Linked DNA regions of Pelodiscus sinensis. Each later gene encodes a partner of the first gene's protein in a complex. Links are inferred from orthologs where the notes say so. Each region holds a gene or a part of one and is shown on either strand. Other genes may lie near its edges.

Region 1 (15,061 bases):
GGAGGATAGGGTTGATTGGTTTGTATGAGCATGCTCAGTAACACTGCTAAAGCCTCTTTTCCTCAGTCTGCTGCCCCCTGCCCCATGCTTGTACTGTCCTCCCCCATCACAACATGCACAGGTTGGCCACCCCCACCAAAATCTGAAATGGTGCCTCTGCTGAAGAGTGGAGCTTTGCTTTCCCTCTCGCCTAGCTGCTGCTGGTGAGTGCAGGGCACCAAGCACCCCTCTGCAGGGCCACACAGAGGATCTTGGCCCCTTGCTGCTCCTGCCTGTGGAATCTGGAGGAGCATGGGTCCCCTCAGCCCCCAATCCCCATGTGTTGCCACTGTTTATTGACATGATTTGTTAAAACTGAAGCCTAGACATTGAGAAAGGATTGGATGGAAGTGCATGTGTTTTGTGGTGGGCGTGTGTTTGACTCAAAATGAAAAGTGAATAGGGAAGGGAAAAATCACAGAAATGTAGGACTGAAAGGGATCTTGGTAGCCATCTAGTAGGCCAAGTTGGTAGGCCAACTAAACCATCCTTGACAGCTATTTGTCTTTAAAATCCCTAAAGATGGGCATTCCACAGCCTCTCTAGGTAATTTGTTCTAGTATCCACCCTAATAGGCAGGATGTTGTAATGTCTAGTCTAAATCTCTTTTGCTGTAATTTAAACCCATTGCCTGTTCTGCCCTCAATGGTTAAGGAGAACAGGTTATCACTCTCCTCTTTATAACAATCTCAAAGACAGTAATGCCTCCCTCTCAGCCATCTCTTCTTCAAACTCAGTTTTTTTTCAGTCTTTCCATGTAGGCCATATTTTCTAGACCAATAATCATTTTTGTTTCTCTCCTCTGGACTTGTCCACATCTTTCCTGAAATGTAATGCGCAGAACTGAGCACAGTACTCCAGATGAGTCCTTATCTGGGATGATTAGAGAGCAAAACCCAATAATTCTTTCAAACAATACTCTTGTTAATACAACCAAGAATGACCTTCACTGCTCTTTTTTTTTTTTTTTTTTTTTTTTTTTTTTTGTGGCGGTGGTGGTGGTGGATGTCTGTTTGGGATTTTTTTGGCAAAAGTTTTACATTTTTGACTCATTTGGTTTGTGGTCAGCTATCTCCTTCAGATCTGTCCTGTGATGCTTCTTCTTAAGCAGTCTTCAGTTACACAAACAAAAATAGGAAATTAGTGTCAAGTGATTTTAAAATAAATTGTGATGTTAAACAATAATGGAATACCATTTATTTAAATATTTTGAATGTTTTCTACATTTACAAATATATCTTTCAATTATGACAGCACATAGTGTCACTTCATATTTATTTTTTATTACAAATACTTGCCCTGTTTTTAAAAAAAAAACGTGTTTTTTCAATTCACCTAATGCAAGTATTGTAGTATGATCTCTTTATCATGCAAGTTGTTCTTCTTCTAAATGAAGAATTATGCCAAAAAATTGCATTCAATAAGAAAACAATATAAAATTTTGGAGCCTGCATTTCACTTAATCCTTTGTGTTCAGCGTATTGCTCAAGCAAGTTTGGTTACAATCTGCAGGAGATAAGGCTGCCGGCTTGTTTACAAAGTCAAATGAGAACATGCATTTGCATGGCACTGTTGTATCTAGCATTGCAAGACATTTTATACCAGATGTTCTAAAGATTTGTGTCCCTTCATGCTTCAACCACCATTCCAGAGGATATGCGTCCATGTTGATGATAGGTTCTACTCAGTAATGATTCAAAGCAGAGTGGACCAACATGCTCATTTTCATCAGCTGAGTCAAATACCACCAGCACAAGGCTGACTTTCTCTTTTTTTTTTTTTTTTGTGGGGGGGGGGGGGGTTGGATTTTGTAGTTTCCATGTTAGTGTTGCTCTTTTCAGACTTCTGAAAGCATGCTCCGCCCCTTGTCCAAAACCTGAGACAGCACTTCAGATTCTTAAACCATGGGCCAAGTGCTGTACCTATTTTTAGAAATCTCACATTGGCACCTTCTTTGCATTTTGTCAAATCTGCTGCGAAAGTGTTCTTAAAATGCACATGTGCTGAATGATAATCCAAGACTGTTATAACATGAAATGTGTGGCAGAATGAAGGTAAAACAGAACAGCATGCGGATAATTCTCTCCCAAGGAGTTAGTCACAAATGTAATTAATATATATTTTACTAGAAGACTTACCTGGCATTGCCTGGGTCCTTCAAGGCAGAATTCTGGAGGTGGGAAATTGAGGGTTGGGGGGTGAGGAGGAGCTCAGGGCAGGGGGTCCCATCTGGCACAGGCCTTTTCTCTACTTCTTACCTCCAGCCACCAGGGGCGTTTTCTCCTCTTCCCCCCACAGCCTCTCCCAGCTGCCGAGGCCTGCCTCATACCGAATGATGAACAACTTGATGCCCCAGCCCTACACGCCAAATGTGCCACAACAGCAAGCAAGTGACGAGGCTAGAGTATTGCTCACTTGCATGGATGTATGCTCACCAGTCCTTGCCCCCAGGCCTTAGAGATAAATGATATCTCCTCAAGCACACATGCCCAGTGCCCTGTATGCTGATTTATATCTTTGTTGGTTGCTCCGGGCACTCAAACGGATGCATCCAGGCTGCTGAGAAAGGGGTGTTTGTTTCTCACTGAATTCTTTGCTTCCCCATTTTTCTGACATGGATTCTCTCTCATGCAGAATTCTCCAAGGAATAAATAACAAATGATGAACTTCTGCTTTAAAGTTCAGAATTTACCTCAGCTTTTTACTATGGAATTGTTACCAGCAACTTCAGTATGGAGTTGCACAGTAAGTGCCTTTCAACTCTTTTCTATGATTTCACTATTTCACAATCTTGTGGCACATGCAAATATCAATGTTCACTTTTATGTACAATTGCAACATTTGTCATTAGTCACCCAGCCATTACCAATTTCATAACTTCATACCATAGTTGGCAGTTGACTAAGATTGCAGATATCCTGTGGATTAGCAGACAAGTGTGTGGTGACTTTAAGTGAACGTTGCTGCTATTGTATACAAAGGAATGACCGATAATTAGTAAGTATGAAAAATTAAAGTACAAGGGAGTAAAAATTGTAACTGTGGAGTGCAGCCAATCCCTTAAGTAAAAGTACATTTGTAAAATATGATGATGCATATTCTCAAAACAATCTTAACTGTTGTATTGTTACCCAAGCTCCATTTATAAATCTGAAAACATTTTACTGCCATCCACTGTCAAAAACTATCAGACCTGGCTCATGAGCCTTACCATAGATCGGTGTTTCTCAAAGTGGTCTGCTAACTGGCCACACTGGTATGGCTTCCCACAGCTCCCCTTGGCTGCAAACAGCGAACAGCGAAACTGAGCCAATAGGAGCTGTGAAGCTCCGTGGCTGTGGCACTAGTAAGTAAACAAACCTGTACAGCTAGTTAACAGTTTCTCAACGTGGTTTCGCAGACCACTTTGAGAAACACTGCCATAGACCATTCTCCAGTTAATGTTCTCATAAAATACTGATTGCTGCAACCAGAAAAGTGCTAGTGCTAAGTGTTGCTTCAGATCCAGGGCAAAATACATTGCCTTAAGCAATTACTGCTGAAGGATGCAGTCTTCACTTTGGGGAAGGAAATGTATGTATTTAAATTGTGTTTTACCCTCTATTTGCAAATTTGGGCCCAGATTCTTATTTACATTTAAGGCTACTTCACACTGCCCCTGTAGTATTAAAATCTGCCCCAGTAGGGTGGGAGAAGTTTCAGGAGATGTTGATAAAATATTGTTTCTTTTCTTGCATAAATATATCTTTATTTAGGACTCAGCAAAAGCTGTTTGCTGAGCATGCAATACTTGGTTCTGCTTTGTTGAGGTCGTTACTGGAAATGATCTAGAAGGCTTCAAAGAGCACACAGTCGAAAGGGCCAGTCCTACGAGGTGCTGAGCATCCATGCCTGCAGCAGGAGTTCACAGTGCTCAGCACCTTGCAGAAGGAAGCACTAAATTAGACAACTGCCACCCAAAGATGGACTCACAACAGGCTTTACAATTATTAACAGACAAAATAAAAATCACTGCAACTATCTTTTGGGGAGTGAATTGCAGCAACTGTTTAATCACATTCAGCAATGTGTTGCAACAGCATAGGAAAGGAAGCAAAAAACACAATATTCAATGTAATCCTATATCCACAAGGGGAATTTAGTCTGGGATTAATTTACCCTACTGTTATGAAAATGCCACTCTAACAGAACTAGAGGTAGAAAGGATCACAGTTTTATGATTCCTTGAAATTAGTAGTGTGGGGATTTTGCAGCTCCTAGGGCAGGGGTGTCCAAACTTTTTTCAAAGAGGGCCAGATTTGATGAAGTGAACATGCGTGAGGGCCGACCATTTTGCCTGACATTCTTTGAACCATTAAAATTAAATGCAAATTAACTATTTTATGCAAAGTTTATTGCAAACGGCAAACGACATAACACCAACTATACATGTTGTGTCCAAATATATTTATAACTGATTTAGACCAACTGACATTAACTGAGATTTTACAATGTATTCATCTCAATTGAAAAAAAAACTTGCCTACACTAATGTGAAGGGTGAAACTGAGATCTGGACTGCAGTACATAGGCTAGGTCTGGTTCAAAGGCAGTCCCTGATCTCAGCAGCTGCGGAGTCCGTCCCTGCACTCTCAGCCCCAAGGTAGAGGGCTTGCAGGGTCAGAGGCAGGCGGAGAGCGCAGGGCACGCTGGCCTCACGGCGGCCCGGGGGCAGGGCGAACCCGTAGCCAAGCGGGGGAGCGGGGCTGCGGACGTGCCCTACATGGAGGACTTTAGGACCGCAGCGGCTGCCATGGACGGCAGCAGCGCGGCCGGAAGCGGCGCCAGTCAGAGGAGCGCCGGGGAGCCAGGAGAGGGGGAGGAAGCGGGGGCTGTCCCTGCACTCTCAGCCCCAAAGCGGAGTGCAGGGGCAGGGTTTGGGACCGCGGCGGCGGCGGTGGCCCGAAGCGGCGCGCTGAGCGCGCCAGTTAAAAAAAGCACCGGGGAGCCGGGAGAAGCGGGGGGCCGTATTAAATCCGACCGCGGGCCGCATTTGGCCCGCGGGCCGGACTTTGGACATGCCTGTCCTAGGGAGACAGAAAAATGTATATAAAATCCCCTATTTTAATTTAATGACGGTGTGTGAAGGGCCATCCTGCATTGAAATAAATGTTAGCAAGAATCCCAAATTAGCCTGGATATGCTCTGAAAGCAGAAGCCTATTGTAGCTATTCAGGCGAGGTTGTCCTAATGGGTTCCTGCTCCATCAATGATGATAACCAAAAGGCTGCTTGCGAGTGTGCTCAAAGATGTGTGCCTTGTTGACTTGCACAATTAGCTAACACAGAAGACTTTGAGAGAACCCTCAAGGACCACAAATCAGATAAGGATTGAAGGTTCCCAGACAGGTTTATAGTTAAGCAAAGTACTGTAATAGTTGTCAGAGGACTCTACTGATCCATATGTAACCCATAACAATGGACGGACTTGATCAGTGGGAGACCTCCACTGCCCTCCCCCTGATCACCACTTTATATACAGGTACAAACAAGTTACACGTCACTCCAGACGTGTCAGGCTACAACCCTCTGATGCTTATATACCACCCATCACCCCTGCACCTTGTGGTTCGATTAGAATATCTCTGACCATCATACTGTCAGTTTAGACCCTTTCCTAAACTTCGGTTGGTATCTATGGGGAGTGTGGGTACCAAGGTCTTTTTTTAATGAGCTGGTGGTACCATCCTCTGGAATGTACTTTCAACTTACAATCAGTACCAATTACTGTTCTACACCTGGGCCTACTACCAATTCATATTTTGCATCCTCAACCCAATTCATGCCAGGTTCTGTGAGCAGGGGCCTGCCTCTTACTCACAGCTTAGCTTTGCTTTATATTAGCCAAGTTTTGTCCATTGTTGCACAGGCCTGGAATGAGGCCTAACTAACATGCACTTTTGTTTCAGGCCCTCCTCTTATTACACCAATATTTGGGTTTAAGAAGCCAACTAGGGCAGGATTTGTCAAAGCACCTCTCATGGCCTCCTGTGGCCATCAAGGGTTTTTCTTGCAGCTACAGCCTCCTGCATAGGTGTCAATTACGTGGGAATTCCAGGCAGGGGCATCCATGGAAAAAATGAGCAGGTGTTCAGAACCCGCTGTCAGCCAAGCTCTACCCTCTGCTCCCCCTGCTCTGAGCCCCTCTCGCCCACCATGTACAACTGTTCTGCAGTGTGCAGGACACTCCAGGAGGTGGAAGGGCAGGGATGGAGTGCACTTGGGGGAGGGAGGGAGAGAGGCAGGAAAGAGCAGGGCTGGGAAGAGGTGGGCTGCTGCTTGGAGAAGAGGATGAAATGGGGACGGGGCCTGGGGTGGGTCAAATACCCTGTTTAGAGAAGACGTTATCACCTATGGCCTCAAGGGTTGTTATGGGGTGGGGGAGGGAGGGAGAAGGCAGCTCCTCCACTGGACCCTCCAGCAGGGGTTTAGACCCTGTCCTCCTCTGAAGAAACATTGGAGGAGCAGCCAGCCAGTGGATTCCCCATCTTCCTGGAAGTGGTAGGGTCAGGCCTCAGCCTTGGGGTGGTAGGCAGCAGGCTCCAGCTGGGGAGTTTACCATCCCTTCCCCATTGCCCCTGGACCTGCTGCCTTTGCTGGCCATCAGGCTCTATCCATAGGGCTTCAGGCTCAGACCCTGACTGTGCAGAGGTAGGTGCTGTCCCCCATTACACCCTGTCCCCTCACCCATTTACCACATTGTCCCTGACCCTCACTGCCTCCCTCAGCACCCCCAGGTCCTCTCTGACTCTCCGGGCTCCTGTTCATTCCCTATATTGCTCCTGTCTCCCTACTTACTTCCTCATCAGTGCTTAATTTGACCCCAAGCTTCCTGTGGCTGAGTAAAGCCTTGTCTCCGCTTACCAGAGATTGAAGCTGCAGAGATTGACTTCCCTAGGGGGCAATTTAATGGGTCTAGTAAAAACTCACTAAATTGACAGCTGATCATACTCCTGTTGAATCTGGTACTCTACCAGGTCATGAGGAGAAAGGGAAATCGACAGGAGCGTCAACTCCAGTCTGCTAGTCATGTAGCTGGAGCTGCATACCATAGTTTGGGTTAGACCAGGTCTGCATTTGGGGACAAAGTCTGCAGTGAAAAGTGATGTTTGTATGTCAGTTAATGTGACTTTTCACAGCAGACTTTAGAAGCTAGTCAGGAAACTGTAAAAAAGTGATATTAACACACCAGTATCACTTTTTAGGAAAGCAAAGTTACGAGCTAGCAAGTCTAAAACAACCAAAGAATCAAAAGAAATAAAAAAAGACAAGAATCTACAAACACCTTCTTTATGTTTCTATTCTGTGTAGATCCAGTAATGAATAGACACAACTGTATTTTTATTACTGAGTATACAACACTCCCTATAGAAATAAATTACACTGATTTGGACATGTATTTTTCCCCCTAAAATTAAGTATTTTAGGAAAAACTGTCTAAGTGCCTGTCAGCAAAAGTTAGGGGCTCCACTGCCAGGCCACTAAAAGTTGTTGTGAAAACTCCTAATAGGTCTCTGTAGTAAAAGTGAGGTGGTTAGAAAAAGTCACAGCCATAACCATTCCCTGCGGGCCAGGGCTACTGTCTAATAATCCATGTTGGAAAATCAGCAGTGTGTGGAGCCCCTGGTTCCGAAGTTATTTCCTCCCACCCGCAAGAGATTTACAACTTGGGGTCAGCCTGGCAGTCCAAATTAGGGTGATCAGATGTCCCGATGTTGTCAAAACCATCCTGCTATCAGTGGCTTTGTTTTATGCAACTGTACCTCCCTCCTTCCCCAAATCCTGGTTTTTCACTGATCCCTCTAATCCAAGAGGGCACCAACCATGCTCTCGTGGAACCTCCATTCCCTCCCCCCCCCCCCCCCCCCGGCTGCAGGGCGCACAGGTGTGCTTCGCTCCCATCTAGGCTGAGAAGCTATCGGATGCTTCCCCCACAGCAGGAGCCCCTACGGTAGGGTTTGCAGGGCAGCCAAGAGCAGAGCTGGGCAGGTGGCAGCGGCCCCCGCCACCCCCCGGCTCCTGAGGGCACAGGGTGTGCCGCTGCGTGGGGAAGGAAACTTGCGCAAGAGCAAAAATAAGGCCCAAGCCCCCACCCAGGAGCCCAGCCCTGCCTCCCGGAGAGGAACTTCCCATCGCCGCAGCCTGACAGAGGAAGCTGGGGCTGAACGACACAGCGTCTCTCCCGCCCCGCGGCACAGTATGGGGCCGCCGCCAGGCAGCTAGAGCCGCAGCGGAGCCGAGCGAGGAGCCGGCCATGCCCAGGAAGGATCCCCGGCACCCGGGCCCCGCCGCGCCCCAGGCGCTGCCCCTGCTGCTCGCCCTGGCGGGGGCCGGGGTGGTGATGAGCCAGCAGCGCTTCGCCCTGCCCCAGCCTCTGTCTATCGACAACATCGCGGCGACCGGGGACAGCCTCCTGCTGGCGGGCGGCAACTGCCTGTACCAGCTGTCCCCGTCCCTGCAGGAGCAGCTCGGCCTCCGGCTCCTGGAGGGGGCGCAGAACTGCACTCACCCGGCGGGCACCCGCAACAAGCTGCTGCTGCCCGACCTGCAGGGCGACCGCCTGCTCACCGGCTGGACGCTGCACGGCGGCAGCTGCCAGGTGCGGCAGCTGAGCGACCTGCAGCCGCAGACCAACCAGAGCGAGGTGGTGAGCTGCCTGCCGCAAGGCTCCACCACCGGGCTGCTCTTCGCGCCGCTGGAAGACACCGAGCGCTACCTGGCGCTGGCCGCCGCCTACCAGGTGCCCAAAGTGAAGACCATCTGCGTGTCCTCGGTCTCGGACGCCAACACGGCGCTCACCATGCGCCGGCTGCAGGACCTGAGCCTCACCAGCGGGGACTCGGCGACGGTGAAGCGCAAGGAGCCGCCTCTGCACTTCGTGGACGCCTTCCTGTGGGACAAGCACCTCTTCTTCCCATACTACCCCCTCGGCGAGGCAGAGGCGCAGCCCAGCGTGGCCCTGCTGCGGATCCCGGAGAAGTCCGCCCTCGTCTTCAACCACTTCGGAGAGGTGCGCCTGGACTGTGGCGGCCGCGGCATCCTGCTCTCCTCCAGCCTCCTGGGGGCGGAGGGCTGGTGGGCCGGGGTCTTCAGCACCAAGCAGAGCGACAGGAGCTGGAACTCTACCGCCCTCTGCATCTTCAGCACGCAGGAGATGGTTAACCACAGCGGGACGACAGGCAGCAACTGCCGCGATCAGATGATAATCAATGAATCCCCCAATTGTGTGAGTCTCCCCTTGACTTCGCTTAAGCGTCCCGCGGAGCTGGCCCCCGCCAAAATCCCCGTCCGAAAGCCCCTGGACGCCAAGGGAATTCTGAGCCGGAGCCCGCGCCCAGGGACCTGGCTCTACAGAGAATGGCTAGAGCTTTGTGTGTCCTCTAGGCATTGTGTGGTGGCTGGCCCCTGAGGTAGGTCGTGTCATTTCCCTTACAGAGCTGGGAAGAGAGAGACCCGCTCGGGGTTACATCTCAAAGAAAGGTTAGGACCAGGATTGCAGTTGAGGAGAACCTTGCTTCAGAGTCCCTAGGGCTCAGCCTCCTACATCCTCCTGCCATCTAGTCATGCTTCACCTCCCCCACAGCTGTATAAATAGTAATTATGAATACTAAAGATTTCACTTAGGCAGAAACCCAAGACTGGTGGAATCATTAAAGTTACATCAAAGATTAATTTGGCCTGCTACATTTACTGCTGTTGTGAAGTGTGTTGAGGGTCTGTCTTCTTCACATTATTTATTACTTATTTATGTCAGTGCCCACTGCCCCGTGCTTTCCAGTCCTTCAAGGATATTCCCTGCTTTAATGGGCATACAGACTAAGGCCAGCCAGACGAGTGGACAGCGCTTAGGGGAAAGGCAACAACAGTAGATGTTGGCTGCTACTCCTCTCCACAGAGGCATTGCTTTTTAGAAGCATAAAGCCAAATCCTGTCTTCTAACCTTGGGCTTGTATTAATTATCCTGTGGGAGATTCCCTGGTCAACCACTTCTCCAACACTCTCACTCCTGTCATTTTAACATCTGTGGAGTCAGGGATCCACACAAGACTGGAGGGCTAGAATGACTAACCATGCCTTGCTTTATTTTCTGGTAAATTGTGCGGGAAATTTGCTGGAAAATGAACTCAGCGTGAAATACTGCTTCTGCGGGGCTCTTGTGCACTGTGGAACCCAATGCCCTGTGGTATTCTGGGGGCTGTGGCCAGTGGAGCACAAAGGAATGGGAAAGAGAACCAGGGGGACCAGCCCTCTGTTGAGAGAGAACTGATCTCTGACAGATCCTCCAACACCCAAGCATTCCGCAGTTTGATCCCCTGCCTCTTCTCCATTGGGCAGCTTCCTCCAGTAATGGACAAAGTATTTTGGAAACTGCATGAGAAGTTGCTATCCTAACCACCATTAGGGAAGCAGTCTGAGACCTTTCCAAATAAAAGCTGCAATATAAGTGTCAAATATATTAAAAATAGCTAGGCACATCAAATATAATTAAAAATCTGTCCCCTTCTACATGGAATTGTAAGACTAGGTGGATGAAATCTTGGCTGTGTGGAAATTAGTGGCAAAACTCCCACTGATGTTGGTGGACCCAGGATTTCACCCTCCGTTTTCAGGTGTCAGTAACTCACTTTGATTGTTTTGATTACTGATGGTAAAATTAATGAAACGAGTTAATAAAAACTCTCCCCTTCCCAAACAATGGTTAATAAGAAATTGAATGTTGGATTCTGGTTCTTTCATTATTAAGTATTTACATGATTTCTTTATTGGCGCTCTAAGATTTTTTTTTTTTTGGTGAGACTCTAATCCATGGCAAAAGTGAATAATATACTTCCAATAGCAATCCACAAAAAAACCCCAACCCTGAATACATATTTTGGACAACTCACATATCAGAAATACTAGAGAACTATAGTTGTGACTTTTAGGAAAATGGGTGTAAGGCAGTGCAAATATAGGTTGAACGTTTCTAGTTCAGCACCCTTGGAACCTGACTGGTGCCAAACCAGAGAATTTGCTGAACCATGGGAGGTCATTATTGTCTAGCAGCATTACCAATATTTCTGAGCTCTTAGAAGACATTTAGGAGTAAATTAGAACTAAATAACAGCACAGAACACTAACATCCAGGATTGATGGCTATAACAAACTTTATGGGAAATTTGGCCATGCCCATGATAAGTGGACATCCAGTTAACTAAAATTATGCTGGACCATGGATGTTGCTGGACCAGAGGTGCCATACTAGAGAAGTTCAACCTGTACTAGAGTCTATAAGGCTGTCATCATCACTATGTTATCTAAATATCTAAATATGGTACACTGACATTCATTATTTTGAGGACTAGTTCTGGCTTAGATTACAACTATAGTCTCATTATTATAGCAATAAATTCCATCTTTCAAAAGGCTTATCTTTACTGGAAAATTAGGTTGTATTAGAATATGACCATGAGCAGTTGTGTTATTTAACATGATGCTAAACACAACATTGCAGACAATATAGACTTATCACTATGTTTTAACATGTCACTAATTGGAACTCTAGAGCTAATCATGCCCAACTGACAGTGTTAATCATCTCTGGTTCCTACCTACACTGGTAGTACAGTCATGTTTAACATTTTGCTAGATTATATAAATCTTGAGTTTGTGTTATACCATGGCAAAATTGTTGTATGATGCCAACCCCAAAGGAGGCATGATATTCCCTTTAGTATAATTAATTAATTAATTAATTATATACATTTACAGGAAAGGCATAAAAACAAATGCAATTCAGTTTTTAAAAGTTATTTTACACCAGCTTCTAGAATAGGCAAACACAGAACATGTGTGCTCACTTCATGCTTGCATTCTTTATCTTCCAGATATTTCTACATGCATTCTTCTGTCCTTGCCACTCAAAGTGCAAGGTGGCTCACTTCCATAAAGTGATGCCCTTTTGAGTCAGAAGTGTGCATGGGTTCAAAATCTGCCAAAAAACAAAACAAAACCCCACAAATTGTCACTGAGTATGCAAAACTTAAAAATCAAAAAGGCTTTTGGGCATGAAGGAGAACTGTGTATCCCAGAACATCAACTGTGCATCATAGAAGATGAATGGAAACACAGCAGATAGTGGGCAGTGGTTCTTATCTGGCTGCAGTCATGGCACCAAAATATGTTGTATTATTACTGCTTCCTGGAATTGGAGCTCTAAGCTTTCGTGTGGCTGGTGGACTTATCTGAACAGAGCCCTGCCTTTTGCAGCAACTCTTAAATTCAAAATAAATTGCAAATCCTAGTTATCTTTACTGTGTTCTAAATCAGTGAAATAGTATGGTCCATCCAGGCCTGTGTACTTAGACCTATCATGTTGGCTCTCAAAGTGGTACTATATTGGAGTGCAGCCCTCAGCAACAGTAAAATAGTTATAAGCCACAGCTTTGTGACAGCACTCTTCTGACTTGTGTGGGAATTTCCCACTTGTTCACATTCACACCACTGCTTGCACTTCCTGAATGTTGCCTGTGTGTTGTGGTTCTGAGTAATATGCAAAGGGTTTGTTTTGCTAGGGGGATATGCACACTGGATCAATTATATACCTACATTTCATGCTACAGTGGTTTGCATATTCCATTTAAACTGAAAGTTTAAATGGAATGAACACTCTGGCTCTAATCTAGCAAAACACTTCAGCAGGTGCTTAACATTAAGCATGCCGATAATCAAGCTGACTTGAAAGGAACTGTTCATGATTAAAATTAAGAATAGATGTTAATACTTTACTGGGCTGAAAGCAGAGGGGATGTGGGTGTATCAGGGTGTGTGATTGACATAATATTGCTATTATAGCTGACCGGAATTGTGCTTGCGCTCTAGCAATTGATTTAAGAGTAGCATTCCAAACAAGTACTTTTAAAAATGACTCCAATGCTCATTATGTCATATGTTGCATTTTTGGCTGTATGACTGGACCAATTATGCTTTGATTTCATATAGTGGGATTTTCACATGGCATTTTGTGCTATGTTGCTACATGTATAACAATATACGATATATATACAATTTATAGCTCTCTGATGAACTAAGCATCATTTATGCAGTTTTGTAACCTTTTGCTCTGATTAATTTTTCTCTGATCCAAATTTCTGTTGCCTTAATTTTGGGTATATCTAATTAAAAATACAACTGAAATATATGTCTTAATGAACACCAAAATAGAAACTATATACAGATAAGCACCTTCTATTCTCAGAACAATGAATGCTTTTTCAAATGCAAAATCACCAAATTAAATCTGAATTTGTTTTCAGAAATTTGTTTGCATGCCAGTGAGCATTTTTTGAAGCATGCAATTCTGAAATGGGAGCTTTTTGGCTAAAATACATGAAACACACTGGCTGTGTCTACACTGGCCACATAAAACGGAAAAGCCATGCAGATCAGGTAAGTCAGGATAGGGAAATCCGCGGGGGATTTAAATATCCCCCGTGGATTTAAATAAACATGTCCACCGCTTTTTTTCCGGCTTGGGGAAAAGCCGGAAAAAAAGCATCTAGACTGGCGCGATCCTCCGGAAAAAAGCCCTACCTGAGGTAGGAATAAGAGATCCTCCGGAAAAGGGCTTTTTTCCGGAGGATCGCGCCAGTCTAGACGCTTTTTTACCGGCTTTTCCCCAAGCCGGAAAAAAGTGGCGGACATGTTTATTTAAATCCGCGGGGGATATTTAAATCCCCCGCGGATTTCCCTATCCTGACTTACCTGATCTGCATGGCTTTTCCGTTTTATGTGGCCAGTGTAGACACAGCCACTGGGTATCTGTTCGAATGACCTTTGAAGTCAGTGAGGGTATGTCTGTACAGTAGTGTTATTTCATAATAACGTTCAGCTGGAGGACTTCTTATTTTGACTCATGATACCCCTCATTTCATAAGGAGTAAGGGAAGTCGAAGGAAGAGCGTTCTTCCTTCAACTTCCTGCTGTGTTAAAAGCTAAAAGCTGAATTAAAGTATTTCAACTTCAGCTAAGCAATTGATGTAGCTGTGTCAATTTAGCCCAGCTGTGTAGACATACCCTGAGAGTCTTTCCTTTTTGTGGGCTTTGAGCATGCCATATAGAAACTACTAGAATATCAAATCCTGGTGAGAGATTATGTGCATAATAGATTAGCAGACATGACCCTGTAAATACTGAGAATTTAAATTAGAGACCATCTGCAGGAGGGCATACTTAAAAAGAGCAGCTTAGGATGTTACCTCTCTACATTTAAGAACCTGGAAGTAATTTCAGCAGTTGCAAACAAAAGGAATGAGCAGTCTTATAAGGAAAATTCTCAGTGTACAATTCTTATTCAAGTGTGTATCTATATGGTGAAGAGGAGCGTTTGCCATATTGTATATTAAGATGCTTCTGTGTTATAAAATATTAAGATCTAAATGGCTGCTGAAGGATAAGAGCTTTTTGCTGGTTTGCTGTCTGTTATGTCATATTGCTTATGAGTTGTAACAATCCTTTTGCTCATACAGTCATAAGACATTAGTAGGTAGATTTTGTAGTATATGTCCCTTAATTCATCAGGCATGACTAGAAACCTTGGATCCATTTCTTAGATGGTGTAAATTGACATAGTTCTGTTGAAGTCAAAGTATGGAAGTCAATAGAATTGAACCAAATCAGTATAGCAGAGAATCTGGTTGATTAATTTACAGAGATAAAGGATTTAAATTTTTGTATAGCAGTCCCTCAAGGAGCCTCTTAAGAAAAGATTTAGGTTTTTCAAAATACTGTTTTATATTAGTTTTGTAGTAGTTCAGTCATTCAATGCAGATTACCAAACTGAGAGAGTGTTATGTTTAGTGTTTGATAATTCTATAGGCTTCCATAGCAAATATATGTCACTAGAGATTGTCATAGGGCCCTAATAAATTCACAGGCATGGAAAACATGTCATGGACTACGAAACTTGATCTCCCCCCATGAAATCTGGTCTTTGTGTGCTTTTA
Region 2 (14,935 bases), on another chromosome or scaffold:
ATCATCATGCCAGCTGGCAAGCCTTTGTGACTTCCTGTTCTCACCCTGTGAGTCACACGGTATTCCCTTGGGATATTTCATGGGGACAGTCATCTTGAAATCCTCCAAAAAGTGCTTTGGGATCTCCAGATGAAAAGGGCTAGGGGACCGCTCGAGAGGATCATGCTTTTTGCTCCCACCAGGCATGACGGAACTGTGGAACTCACTGCCACATGAAGTCCCTGACTTCTCAGGATCTTAACATTCCAAAGTGGAAAGGAGCGATCTGGATGGATATCAAAAGTATCCAGAGCCCATTATAATTAAGGAGAACAATTTTGGAAGGGGTGTTAAACGTCAGGGCTTCGGACAATCCCTAACCACCAAGGGCGAATCCTTCTACAGGGGCAGATTATCCACCTTGGTTCCTTGGTACTCTTGCATTTCCCTCATGCTTTGGGGGCAGGACAACCCTCAGTTCTGGTCCCACTGTGCTATATAGTGTCCAGGCTGTAATACTGAGCAGGGGCCAGTCCCAGAAGTCAGGCTCTTCACAGGAGCCACCTTGGGCAAGGCAGCGAAGGAGCCGGGGCTAGCTGAATGCACGGGATTCAGCTGGAAACTGACGCCGATTTATGAGTCCTACCTGCCAAGCAAGGCAACCTGAACCTTCCACCGTTTATTCCCAGCCCATGTGTTTGCTTTCCCTTCCTGTCACAGGAGGGGCCGCAGGGGAGAAAGCCACCTGCTGGGTTTGTTGAAAGCACTGTGCCAAAGTCACCCTGGGAAAAGATGAGCACAGCGCAAATCGGGACTGCCGGGAAAGGAGCTTTCCACTGGAAACGCTGACACACCGAGATCCGAGCCGCTAACTTCGCCCCAAGTGCCCAGTGCTCCCGGGGGAACAGGGCTGCAGTCATGGGAACCCAGCTGCGGAAACGCCATGTGGCTTCCCTGCTTTGATTCTCCCTCCCCCTCTGTGTCCCAGCCTCAGTGCCTGGGAGAACGGAAAGGTTCCCCACAAACCCCTGGAGCCCACGGCCTGTGGGCCAGGCTGACGACTTCCAGGCAAGAGGAGGCGATCAGCGTGAAGTGACCCTAGTCACTCATTACGCCTGCACGGCATGTGGTAGCAGCTGAATTGACACAGCCCATCCGCCGCAGGGGGAACGTTTCTACCAGGCTCCATGCTCCTCAACCCCTCCCTTCTGGGTGATCCAGCTCCCTGCAGCCAAGGACTCACAGAGCCAGGGAACACTAGGACGGGAAGGGACATCAAGAGGCCGTGAATCCAGTCCCCTGGCCTCGCGGCAGGACCCAGCACCATCTAGCTCATCCCTGACAGGTGTCCGTCTAACCTGCTCGTAAATATCTCCAGGGATGGAGATTCCACAGCCTCTCTGGGCAATTTATTCCAGTGTTTAATACCCCCCAACAGGAATGTCCAACCTAAACCTCCCTTGCTGCAGTTTAAGCCCCTTGCTTCTTGTCCAATCCTCAGAGGCCAAGGAGAACAATTTTTCTCCCAGCTCCTTGTAGCACCCTTTTAGTTACTTGAAACCCGCTTGCATGAAGGGTGGCTAGCAACAGCCATGGGCTAAGACGGTAACTCCCTAGAGCAGTGGTGCGCAACCTGTGGGTCGCGACCCCCAAGGGGGTGACGGATGTCTTCCCAGGGGGTCGCGGCGCTTAGATCTGGCCGGCCAGGGACTGGGTCCAGGATCAAAAAAGGTTCCCCTAGAGAAGCAGATGCTGGCACAGCACAGATGCTGGGGATGGGCACCTACTGGTGACACACCATGGTTAGTGAGAGGAACAGCTGGGCTGTCTCATTCCATCTTCAGCTAGGACTTCAGTGGGGTGATCCTCAATCGGGGGTCCCCACCCCCACACTTGATAAACTTCACAGACCCCTAATTCTCGTCCTCTGCCACCTCACATTGAGAAGCACCTCAACCAGGAAAGACCTGCCCAGCGCTAAATAGCACCCAGCATCTAGAACAGGGGTGGATCCGGCCCCCGAGGCTCACGCCCCCCCCCTGCATTGGGGAGCCTGTGCTGGTGCCCCATACCCTCCCCCGCTGCTCCTGGGGCTAGAGCACCCAAAATCTACTAGGCTGGCCCCCCGTGGTCTCTGGTGTGGGAGGGGAATGTGGGAAGGGTCTTTCTGCTTCCTAGTCGGGCGCCATGTCAGCGAGGGGTTTTTGAGTGTGGCCCCCGCCTGATTTTTCCGTGGGGCAGTGGCCCCTGACCCGAAGAAGGTTCCCCGCCCTGATGTAGAAGATGGGTTGGAGGGATGGGGGCCACTGCCCCACAGAAAGCGACAAGCGCGCTGGGTTTGGAGACCTGTCAGCAGCGTATCATCCAGGGAGCCACCAAAACCAGCTCGCCAGAGTCTCCGAGGGGACGGCCACCCACCCCGCAGCTCAGCCGATCTCGCCTGGCCAAGAGGCGGCTTCACGGAGAGCTGTGCAAGCAACATGCCCCGCCCCCGGGACGTAGTGGGGGGCTGTCTGCTCTGTAGCCAGGGGTTCCCCTGTGCTGTGAGGTGCGGTTCCCACTGACTCACCCACGTGTGGAATGACCCAGACACCGAGTCCCAGCCTGAGCAGATAACAAGGCTCTTCCCAGGGGGAGACACAAAGGAGGGGAGGCGGAGACGGCCACCTGGCTAGGGGGCAGGGCCTGGGAGCCGGGCAGTTTTTTGCAGGAAAACCATGAAGGGAAGAAACTAAGCAGAGTTCTGGGGGTTGAGCAGCCCAGGCACCCCTACCCCAAGGGATCTAGGGCTGCCAGCCCGACTCCTTACGTTTACACACGTCTAGGCTGCGCTGTACCCTGGAGAAGCAATAAGCCCTCTCTGTTCTACGGGCTGGCGGAGTCTCATCTTGCTGCTACGGTGGGGGGGGGGCAGGATCAGGGGCATCCCCGACGTGCCGCCCCCTCCCCCCCCAGGCAGTGTGCTAGTACTGCTCCACTTCAACCTGTACACCGATGACTCGCGCATACAGAGCAACGTGCAGAGGCTTACAGACGCCGATGAGCTAGGCAGCATGGCACAGGAGAAAAACGTGGCCACTGTTGAGAGCAGACTGACGCCTGCCCGGGGCAACCTTTCAGCATATCCTCATTCGAACCAGCTGCCTGTCAAACCTCAGGCAGAGACGCACGTGTCGGCCTTTCACTCCCGCCATCGGGAAGCCAAGCAGAGACTAACCATCCTCTGGGCTGGTACTAGAGGGGCTAAGGGGCCATCCCCTCACTTTTTAACAGGGGCAGAGTTTGGGGGCGGAGGCAGCCTTGCCCCCTGCAAGCCTCGGGCAGGGGCTGAGCTTCACGATAGGGAAGCTGATCTGCAGTGCTGCCCCGCACCTGCCCGAGGCTTGCAGCGAGGGGAGTAACACCCCCAAACTACGCCCAGGTTGAGACGTGGGGAGACATAGGGGTCATAAACAGGTGTCTGCAGCCACACCCACCTACCCTTCCCTTATTGCTAACTGGGAGTCGGGGGATCCTGGCGACGTGGGGGCCAGACCCCAGTGCGCTGCCAACAGTCGTGCCAGGGAGATCCCCTCTCAGCGAGATACACACCTGCCCCTCAGCCCGTCCTGCCCCACGTGGCTGGGGTAGCTTCCGTAGGGGCATTTGACACGCAGCGCCACGTAGTGGCTGAACAGTGGCATACAGTTGGGCCTTTCCTGACACCTGCTGCCATAATGCATTAGCGTGGCCGGCTCTGCTCTCCCGAGCCCCCGTCTCCCACCTGGGTCAGCCCTCGGGGACCGCTGGCCAGCAGCCCTCCGAATCATAGGAGCCTAGGGCGGGCAGAGCCCTCAGGAGTCATCGAGTCCAGCCCCCTGCCCTAAGCAGCAACAACCCATTGTGCACCCTTTGCACCTCTCCCCTTGGCTCTCTCTCCAGACAGCGCCTGCCTCGGAAGCATGCAGGCCAGAATGCCTGGCAGATGAGGCATCTCCCTCCTCCGCGGGTGGCGCCTGAAGTCACACTGGCCTCTAAGCCGTGTCGGATCTGACACGCCGGGGCTCAGCGTGGGAGCCAAATGCTCCTAACCCTAAAGCATAGCCTGGCACCGCGGCCTTTAGCTCTGCAAGCAAAGCCAGGGACCACAGTGTCCCAGCCTGCAGACACTTCCTTCTGCACCAAGCGGGGGAGTAACCAGGCCTCCGACTCTGATTGGGAGGCTGGTTTGCGACACTCCAGAGTTCCACAACTTCCCGTATCTGCGCGAGAAATGTGCCGTGCCAGTCGCCCACGGACCACCTGGGCCTCGCTTCCGCACGGGCTTTGGAGGGAGCTGGAAAACCCTTGCAAGTAGAAATGAGCCCAACGAGCTTTGGGTCCAGATCTGGACTTGCCCGTCCCCCATGCGAAGCTGCAACTGAGGAGGAGCAAGTACCCGGCTGGGTCCCCAAATCCCTGCGTTTACACAGTGCCAGGCGGCACCTCTGTCAGATCCCTCGGCTCGTCTTCACTAGAGACAGGCAGGGCTGCTAGACAGCCCTGGAGCTATTTAAAGGGTTACCTATCCAGTTTCTATACTACAGGTCCCATCTCTCTTTACAGCACCGGGCTGGGGAGCGCTACCCCACAGAGGGTGGCTTTGCAGATAGAGGCAGCAAGGGGCGAGGGGAGAGGAATCCCCAGCTGATCCCGGGCTCCACGCTTTCATCTTTGAAGTGTAGCAACAGCCCTAGCAACTTCAAAGGTGGAGGCGCCCTATTGACTAGGCGATGCAAAATGCATCGCCTATTCGATTAGTCAATTAATTGATACTCGACATCCGTAGCGCGCAGCCCATGCCTGGAAACGGAGCTGTATCGAGGATGCGTTGGAAATGCTGGGGGAAGGGAAGGTCTGAGCATCCTGGCCGGCTAAGGGCCTTTGTCTGAAATGACATGATCAGTATTGGAGCAAGCCAGCTGAACGGGGCCTCTCTGCCTTGGGGAGCTGCCTGTTTTCCTCTCTCTGCTTTGGGGTTCTTGTGTTTTTCTGAAGGCTGAGAAATAGAGTCACGCTGTGGTGCCCACACGGGTGGCCCATGCGCAGCCGGATGTTGCTGCTCCATTTCAGGCATGTTCATGCCTCCCCTCATGTGCAGCAACATTGGGCAAAGCAGTTTTCTTCACCCCCCAAACTTACGCCGCCTTTGGGAACCTCCAAGCCCCCTTTGGCGAGGAAGGGGCCCCGTCTCCAGCCTGACATGGGGTCATCGCTCTGGAAGAGAGACGCTGAGCCAGTGACACCAGCCGGGGAAGGGAAAATAAAGCCTGGATTATGGTTTTGCCTGAGGCGCTTTCCTCCGGGCTGGCTTTAGTAGCACAAAGCTCAGGGCTGGCCCTCCCATGTGGCGAACTGAGGTGGCTACCTCAGGTGCCTGACTGTGGGGGGGGCGCCACTAGGACCCAGAGTGTAGAAAATTGTGTTGGCTGCTGGTGTAGGTAGCAGAGCAGTCCCATGAGAGGAGTAGAACAGGAAGAAGGCAGAATTGAGACCCAAGCGAGGGGATATGGGAGCATCATTTGAGCTCCCCGCCTCAGGTGCCAAAATGTTGTGGGCCAGCCCTGACAAAGATTCCACCCAAGAGTGATCGGCTCAACATATTGGGTCTTGTTCCCCCCCGCCCCACTGCCACCAGGAATCAAGTCCCCAAAAAATCCTAAGATTGGCATAAAAAAATCCTGAGATTTGAAACAACAGGAAACATCAGGGTCCGTTTCCTTTGCCTCCTACATCTGAGCCTTCAGGGTCTTAGGCCAAATGCTGTGGATTTTTTCCAAGGCCGGGAGGGCTAGAAAGTTGAACCAAAGCAGCTAATCAGCACCTTGCAGGAGCAGCGGCTTGAAGGAAAAGCGCTAACAATCGCCCGTCTCGCGAATGCGCTCCAAAGCCGTGTTGCCCTGCGTCGCATGCCAGGGAGCCCATCTCGGGGCACACGGAGGAAGACTCTGAGAGGATAAACAACAGCATGACAAGCAGCAGGGGGCACGGCCAGAGAGAAACAGGTGCCAGAGAAGCCAGATTGCTGCTCTTCCCACTGGGGCACGCTCCCTCGGAAAGGGGTGTTTCCCCCTCACATGTAGCCAAAAGCAGGTGATCTGATGGTTTTTTCCTAAGAGGGAATTCCATGGAAATTATTCATCCCTTCAACACTCACTGCCTCAGACAATCCCTGCCAGGGATCTATGTCTTCATTTCCTTGTATCATTGGTCTGCATTATTTACAGACACACAAAGAGAAGATGACAGCATCAGCTCTGCCCTGGATTACCTTTGTCTCACTCTGAGGCCTCAATATTCCCCACCTGCTCCCAACGCCCTGAGCAGCTGCTTCCGAGCCGCACGGCTGAAGAACAGCAGCCAAGCTGGGCCAGAGCTGGGGGCGAACGTGCCCTCCACAAAGGGGACAAAGGATCCTGTACCGACAAGCTACTTGTCACACCGGCTGACAAGAGCATTCGAGCCCAGCTGTCTGCGTGATTCAGACAAATAGCGTGGAATAACATCTCAGTCAGAAACACCGCTGCGCCTTCTGTTAATGCCTTCCTATGCGACGTTAACCAGGCAGCTGGGGCATGGAGGGAAGAGACATCCATAAAAGCTATTTTACTCTATACATTCATATGGGTCCCTCGGGCACTTTGCATACACTTCCTCCTCTGCAACATGGATCCTTTGTATTAAGGGATTTGTCTTGCCTCAGAGCTCAGTTCCTGCTCCAGGAGACTGAAGGACTAAATGTTCCGCATAACTAGCGCAGAGACAGCCGGCCAAGTCACTCTAACACATAGAAAGATAACTGTTTGACATGGCTTTTCAGCTGCTCAGTGTGTGTGTTGCAGCAGGGACAGTATCTCCTACAACGTCTCCACAGGGACTGGGTATTAACAGCCGCCTTAAATTCTATTTGTGGCGTTTAGAAAGGGGTTGAAATAAAAAACCACGGAAAGGTCAAGAAAAAGAAGGCACCTCTATGAAAATGAAGAAACTGATCAAGGGGGAGAAAGATCTTAACACACATCAGAAAATGGCCAGGTCCTTTTCCTATAGCACAACCTCAATCTCCCTGCGAGAGGCCAAAATGAATCAAGACTAAGCCCCCCAAAGCGACATGATACAGAGAAAAGAGAGAGACTGTTACACCAACAGGGATAGTCTCCCTGTGTCTGTCAAGTACACACACACTTTGTAGATTTCAAGGTTCCTGTGAAGCAGTGCAAGGCTCAGGCAGGCAGCTGCCGTTTGAATCTTACCTTGTGGAGCTGTGAGGATAATTCTAGGGTTTACCGTGGAGTACCCAGCTGTCAGGAGAAACAGGTGGCTGGTCCATAGGACAGAAAGACAGGCAGTGTGCGAGTTCAGACCCATCTCTCCTGCAATCTCTCCGGCACAGCTTGGCAGCATACTTCTGCCAGGATAGCATAGCAGTTAAATATACCGAGTAGGCGGGCCTATAGGTCCCTTAGCCAATCGGAAGAGTTTAGTTGGTAAACTAGCTTCAATCCTCAAGCTGTTACCCCACTGGGAAAAGGGGTTATAAGAGCAGGCCCCCAAAATCATGAGATTGTCTTAAAAACGGTGAGCTTTGGAATAGAATACAGGGGTGATTTTTCCCTTGCCTGTCTAGCCTTTGGGGCTCCTGTTTACAAGCTCCTCCTCTGCACCCACAAAGGATAGAAACTTACTATTTTGTCAAGGAAAGCTGAAATTCTGGCATATTCCCCTCACTCTGGTGGTTCACTCCCACTCCTGTGAGGCTCACTGTAAAAGTCACAAAGCCAGCAATGGTCTGCCACAGAAGAGGCAGCGTAGTTTAGTAGGTAGAGCACTAGACTAGGACACAGAACTGGATTGTGTTTCTGTCTCTGCCACTGGCCTGCGGGGTGAGCTTGGGTGAGTCACTTTGCTTCCCATGGCTCAGTTTCTCTATCTGTAAAATAGGTCTAGGCTTGAGGCAATTTACCTCATCCAAGAAACCTGTAGCCCTTGACATTGGAAAAAGGAGATGATGTCATTATCTCCCTCCTGTACTTCCAGTTTGACATGTCTTCCTTCCCCTTCCATCCTATGTTGTGCTGCCCTTTTGCTTTTCACTTATAAACAGCTGTTACGTTCCACTCCAGAAGTGGTGACACGTTTGTAATGGGGTCCAATTTTAATGTACCACGCTGGCAACAGGCAAGAGCCGAAAAGTGAGCGCAAGGGTCATTCGTGCCCACAGCAATGCCCCTTTACACTACATGAACCACTGGGCCATCATTTAGAAATCAGCAGCGTAGTACATAGAAATAAGCCTCCATTCCTAGCCCCCAGCAGCTGTTGAAGATAATAGGAGACTAAGAGGTTTTTTGCACCCACTGTTTGGGCTGTCTACACAAAAGCGACATTACACAGGGTTTTCAAGGGCGCATTGTTATCTTAGCTCGGCTTTTGTGCTGGGCATTTACAGGAACCCTTTGCCAGTCGTGGTGGAGGACTCCTGGCACCACTGCAAATGGCAACATTTGTGAATACTCGGAGCCGCGGCTTCCAGTCCCCACAATGACCTCCCTGCTGCTCCTGAACTCAACGCAGGGGTCAGGAGCTGCTCGCTGCGGGGGTCAGGGGCCGTGGGGAATTCCGGGCAGCTCTGGGCAGCTGCAGTGAGTTCCCCACGGTTTCGGACAGCGGCAGGGAACTCAACACAGGTCCGGGAAGCCACCGGGAACTCACCGCAGGTGCCAGTAATGGGGCGAGTTCCCCATAGCTCCCATCCCCCACCATCGTCCCCTCTCCCAGTCCAGGCAGGAGACTCTGGCCAATACGCAGAACCGGGAATAGTGATCCCATGAATTGTGAGGGTCTCCTATATACAATTAGTCCCCATGTTTAACCTCTCTAGTCCGGCAACATCCATGGTCTGGTATGATTTTAGTTAGCCAGATGTTCACTTATCATGGGTGTGGCCAAATTTCCCCTGGTCCCATAAAGTTTATTTACAGCCACCAGGCCTGGCGCTCAGTGGTCTGTGCTGTGAATTAGCTCTAATTTACCCCTAAGTGTCTTCTAAGAACCCAGTAAGCAGTGGAAGTGTTGGTAATGCGGCTAGACAATATCGACCTCCTATGCTTCGGAAATTCTCTGGTTCGGCAAATTCTGAGGGTGCCAGAGAGCGGTCCAAGCTGTACTATTTTTACAACATTACCCAAGTCAAGACTATCTGAATGCGATCAGCATTGTAGATCACATAATAACAAATATGAAGCTATTGGTTCACATTGTGATTTTTTTTGTCCAAATAGGTAAATCCTGGCAAATTCAATTAACATGGAAAAGAGTGATCTCGGAAAATGGTATTTCATTTCAACTAATAGTCTGAAAGGGAGGTGGAGTTGGCAGTCCCGAAGATGCCATTATGGTCCCCTGAACCGCTGGCTAGTTGGTCGACTTTGTGGAATGCCAAAAGCAGAACGAAACCTGAGACTTCTGGTGCTGAGTGCATGAGCCTCTACACAGCAGGAGCTAAATGCAGCTGGCTCTCAGCTAAGGAGCACGCTCATTCTTCCTAAGATGACTAAGTACCACTACATGGAGCAAGAAACTGCACCCAAAAGAATTGATTGCATCAGTCATCAGCATTCCTGAGGCATTTACCAACTCCAGACAGGTCAATTTTCAGGCGAGGGTGAGATAAGAGTCTCACTTTGATTGTAATAAAAAACCACAATCGAGTCTTGCATGAGCTGCATCCATACATTGGATAGCCCAAGTGCTTTTAGCCTGGCATGAAGAACTCATCTCCGGGCCACAGTGTTTAGTTCTAACTCACCCAAAGTTTGCGAGCGTCCTCATCAAGGGGTCTTGTTTCAGGGCCTACCCTAGTCACTTAGCCTGCCATTTTCGAAAGAACCGCGTCTAGACTGCGGTTTTACTTTCGAAATGGCGCTTTTTCAAAAAAGCGCCATGATGCGATTATGCAAATGAAGGATGGGAAATTCAAATCCCCGCCCCATTTGCAAGTTCCAACTGTCTAATTTGCATCCCTGTGAAAGAAGGGATGTAGTCTAGACCCAGCCTTATTGGTGGGAGCTAAAAGATAGAACAGGAAAAAAAGAACATCCGAAGAAGTGGGGTTTGCCCACAAAAGCTCATGATCTGATATATATTTTTGTTAGCTACTAAGGGCATGTCTATACTGCAGGGCAAAAGTCGAATTAAGCTCCGCCACTCCAGCAACGTCAATTGCGCCGCTGAAGTCAAAACAGCTTCATTCGGCTTATGGCGCTGTCTGCACAGCAGGAAGTCGAAGGAAGAGCCCTCTTCTTCCAACGTCCCTTACACCTCGTGAAATGGGGGCGATAGGAGTCGGAGTAAGAAGTCCTCCAGCTCGCCGTTATTTTGGAATCACAGCTTGCTGTGTAGACGCGCTCCCTGTCATTTCAAAAGAACGTCGGTTATTCCAAAATCACGCTGCTGTGCAGACGTCTCCTTCGGTGCCACAGGTCGACTCGCTGGTTTTAAAGTTACAGGCTAACACAGCTGCCCCTCTGAGACACGGAGGAAAAAACCTCTTCACTAAATCCATTTTAATCTCTGGGTTTATTCCGGAGCGTATGCCAGACACACAATGGTTTTATAAATAGCTTGAACTCCAGCCCAGCTCTCCAGCTAATCACTGTCAATGTTTCTACCAGACAGTTCCTTTTATTTCTAGATGTCTGTTTTCATGCAGCTCCCTATGGGCAGGTCCTTGGGTCTTGAGAGAGATAATGTCGTCCTAACATTAGCAGCCTTTCGGCCTTTCAAACACTTTCCTGCAGCCCTTTCTTTGACTTACAGCCCTATGGTTCCCCTGGGATAGCACCCCGGCCAGAGACAACTCAGGAACCTGAGACCCTCTACTCTCAGAGAAGCAATGTACCCCCCTCCTCATCAATTTTACCTTAACCACTGCTCCTGTATAACACACAGCACTTGAAAGATAGTGGTAGAAATGTAGCCGTGTTAGTCTGGTGCAGCTACACCAGACTAACACGGCTACATTTCTACCACTATTCTACATGCACGGCACTACATTTAGCCGTTTGGAATGGAAAACCATATGAAAAAACTTGCACAGATGCAGACAGACATCTTCTTTCTATCCAAGTGCAAGAAGATGGACATCGTACCCAAAGGACTGAAAGTGAACAATCCATTAAGATCAACATACTTTACTGACTACAGTGAAAGACTCTGCCTCACACTATCCAAGAAATTAAGGAACCACCTGATAAGTATTTTATACAAGAAACAGAAAAACTTCAAGAATGACATTTCAAACTTAGAGAGTCTCATCTCAAGACAAACATCCACACCGACTAACACCTTGCAAGACTTTTGTTCCACTTGAAAGATAGTTGGTTTAAGTAGGAAATAGAGCTCCTACTAGAAACAAGAGAGTGATGGAAACAAAAGAGTTATAATACAAACCAAATCATCAAGCACAGAGTAGGGGCTACCCTTACTCCACTTTCCCATAGAATAAAAGATGATTTTCCCCTATTAACAAGTGTGAAATATCAGGACTTCTTTTTTCCAGAGGATCTGGGTCACAGCTGTTTATAAAGGACAAAGCCCCTAGAAGATCCGGTAATATTGGCACATCTGGTCATACAGATGGTCCCCCCAAAGTTCAGTCTGTTGCAGAGCTGGCCATCAAAGGACGGCCAAGCAGCATGCAGCCCAATGAAAATAACTTGCAAACACAGAGAGGAGATGGGAAACAGGTCAATCCCGCTGGAAAAAAAAAAGATCGTTGCAGGTTTCATCATTCAGTTTTATATTGGGGGGGGGGATCAAAGTGTTGTTCAGATTTTAGGATTTGTTTGCGCAGCGAGGCTGGGCGATTTGCGAAGGTTTACCTTTAACTTACAGCAAAAAAGCATGCTGTGTGTGTGTATGTGTGTTTTATAGACTCAAATGGCTCGCTCCCCTCTGTGCCTCTGAAAATCTAACTTGCTGAAGGATTTCAGAGAGAAGGTGATAAATCCCCAGTTGGTGTTCTGGAACTGTGTACACAGCTGTCCCATAGTCCTCACGCCTGTGCACAGTTCACGCTCTCTGACGAGGAGCGGGGGGTCTCTCTGTGTGGGTCTGCCCCGAACGTCAGACGTATATTCGACGCAAGGAGCTAGGGTATCGTTACACTCCTCACGCAGGCAAACTTCGCCACACGGTCAGCAGAAGCTTTGGGTGATCAGGTCTCTAGGCAAGCGGGGAATGCATTCCATGCGGATGTCTCCTCCCCAGCAGGCTAGCAAGGCCCCGAGTCAGCCAAGCACATGAGCACGTGCTTCCAGGGGACTTTCAACACACGCTCAGCCCGGGCCAAAGTGCTTTGTTGATTCAGGGCCAGAAAAAGCACCGGAGCCAGGAGAGCAGCTGATTGTAAAGCCCTTGCTGATAACGGGAGACTTTCCAAAGATGCCAGCGAGTTCTGGCTCGGGTCTGGAAGGAGAGGGAGGTGAGAAGCGTCCGGAAGAGGGAGGCGAGCCAGGCTGAGCGTCCCAAGCAGGGAGCAATGGCAAACCAAGGCCACCCAGGCTGCTGTTGTCTTTCAGTGTGGGGTGGAGGCTTTTCGCTGGCAGCCCCGGAGCTGGGAGGTGAAGCCCATTTGGGGTTTAATGCTGATCCCTACCGAGGAGGCATTTTACAACAGGCCATGCCAGGCGCAGCACTGGTCTTTTAAGACTAAAGACGTGTGGGCGCTCAGATCCTACAGTGCAGTACCAGGGGAGGACGATATTGCTATTTTGACAGTGCCCAGGCTAGACTAGAACCAGCAGCCCTGAGCTGGGCCCCAAGGCAGGATTTAGACAGGACCTGCCCTTAAGAGTTCAGCTACTGCTTGTCTGTTTTGGGGCACACTTGAGTCTGGCTGCTGCGCTGCTGCACTAGAGTGCCTCCTAGTGTCCCTGGTGCAGAACTGCCAGCACAGGGTCTGATATTTCTATCAGGGGTCTCCAACCTTTTTAGGCACAAGATCACTTTTTAAATTCAAGTCAGTCCAGGATCTCTCTCAGATCCCTGCTCCACCCCTTCGCTGAGGCCCCTGCACTCCTCACTCTGGGAAGATGGGGTACAGGGGAGGGGGACAGAGTGACATCAGCACCCCCTGCCTATGTCTGCCCCACCCTGCACAACAAGCAAGAGGCTCCCGGGGCAGCGCTGAGGCTCCGGGCAGGAACAGCAGGGCAGTGCGAGGAGGGGCAGTTGAAGTGCTGGTACTTGACAGCCTCCCAGCCATACCTGTCAGGGTCACCTGTCAGAGGCTCCACGATCTTCTGGTAGATCCTGATTGACTGGTTGGTGACCGCTGTTCTACATGGTTCCTTTCACCCAGAAACCCCCAAAGCACTTTACACAAAGCTAGAAAGCCAGTTTCCATGCAAAGCCAAATTTTGTTTCCTGCTCCAGAGTTTCCTGTAAAGTATTGTTGTCTCTGAGCTGGCAGGTTCAATCTGGGGATAAGGTAGAATTTTTCTACCCAATTTGAGATGCACTGGAAGAGGGGATCCTGAATTTTGATATCCTGGACTCCAGCAATCCCCAACCAGTATGTGTAGCACCAGTGATGTGTTTGGCACCATGGACCAAACCAGCTCACGGAGCGAGCCAGGGGATGTAAAGTTGTCTTAAAATACCTTTACCCAGGCTCGCTCCGATTGTGCGCCAGGCTCAGGTTGGTCAGCCCAGAGAACCCAGGATGGACTCCAGCCTGATGTGAGTGGCAGAGTTCGGCTGTTATGAACACACAAACGCAAGGAGTTGAATACAGAAAGTAGAGCAACACCGTCTGTCTGAAGTACTGTCATTGCTCATCAGATGCTCAGACCAAAACTAGCTGAGCCAGATGTCTGGGTTCTAGCTTTATTGAGCAAGGGCTGGAGTGAAACTAGAAATGAGGAAGATTCCAAAGATATTCAAAACGTTATTCATGGATCAGCTGTCTGCCCTTCCTGGAAGCTTTGCAAGTCAATTTGAGGCAGGTATCAGACACCTCCGTGGTGGATTTGGTGCAGTTTCGTCTGAATTGTGACATTCAGATGCCAAGGCAGACCCGCACTGGAACCTCCCCGGGGTACTTTAAAGAATCACATTTCCCTTAATAATAGGCAGCAGTTTTAAAACAAACAAAAAGAAGTTTTTCTTCACTCAGCACACAATCAATCTGTGGAACACCTTGCCAGAGGATGTGGTGAAAGCTACGACTTTAACAGAGTTCAAAAAAGAGTTAGAAAGTTTATCCTGTACAGACTACCTCAGCTACTCCCTGAAGATTCATGGAGGTTAGGTCCATCAATGGCTATTAGCCAGGGTGGGTAGGAATGGTGTCCCTAGCCTGTTTGTCTGGAAGTGGGTGATGGGAGGGATCACGTGAGGATTACCTGTTGTGATCACTCCCTCTGGGGCATCTGGTATTGACCACTGTCGGCAGACGGGACACTGGGCTAGATGAACCTTTGGTCTGACCTTGTATGGTCGTTCTTATGTTCTTAATAAAAATGTATTTTACTGAATCGCAGAAGGGTTCCGAGGAACTTCTCCTTCTTCTTAAACCCGTGTACTCCGAGTGGCGCATAGGTCATCGACAAGTCTCTTCCACTTCACTCTGTCTTGAGACAAAACTTCTAGCTGACTCCAGGAGTACCCCAGTTGCCCTTCAGTCTCAGTAGATCTTCTCCACATTGTCCGAGGTCTTCCTCTTTTGCGTTTTCCTGGCAGGTTCCACGTGAGAGCTTGATGGACTATGCTGGATGACGGTTTTCTGAGAGTGTGGCCTCGCCATCCCCACTTTCTTCTCTTGAGTTGAACGTCAAGTGGTTCTTGTCCTGATCTGTTCCAAAGCTCCTCATTTGTGACAACGTCCTGCCATTTGATGTGAAGGATGGACCTCCGGCATGTGTTTATGAATGTC

Evidence for each region.
Region 2: the proteins of PLXNC1 (region 1) and SEMA7A are in contact, whole or in part, in a crystal structure (PDB 3NVQ), measured with the Homo sapiens proteins. The link is inferred for Pelodiscus sinensis from reciprocal best matches to the Homo sapiens genes PLXNC1 and SEMA7A. Residues at the interface, in NP_005752.1 of Homo sapiens: Arg131, Thr151, Glu152, Val153, Asn195, Pro196, Ala197, Ala198, Ser199, Asp200, His201, Thr203, Ala206, Lys208, Arg213, Ser214, Leu215, Ala216, Thr217, Gln218, Glu219, Leu220, Arg222, Lys224, Glu272, Ala350, Ser352, His353; in NP_003603.1 of Homo sapiens: Gln194, Tyr196, Asn197, Gly198, Lys199, Arg202, Arg204, Tyr213, Ser215, Asp216, Thr217, Gln270, Gly271, Gly272, Glu273, Ser274, Ser275, Leu276, Val278, Ser279, Lys280, Pro372, Thr375, Glu376, Phe378, Gln379, Asp382, Arg383.

Annotation. Positions count from the first base shown.
Region 1 is NC_134711.1:80,309,588-80,324,648, forward strand, and holds the start of PLXNC1 (plexin-C1), read left to right. Parts: upstream 1-8,187; 5' UTR 8,188-8,331; coding exon 8,332-9,303; intron 9,304-15,061.
Region 2 is NC_134724.1:35,579,508-35,594,442, reverse strand, and holds the start of SEMA7A (semaphorin-7A), read right to left. Parts: upstream 7,413-14,935; 5' UTR 7,402-7,412; coding exon 7,251-7,401; intron 1-7,250. UniProt on the Homo sapiens protein: Plays an important role in integrin-mediated signaling and functions both in regulating cell migration and immune responses.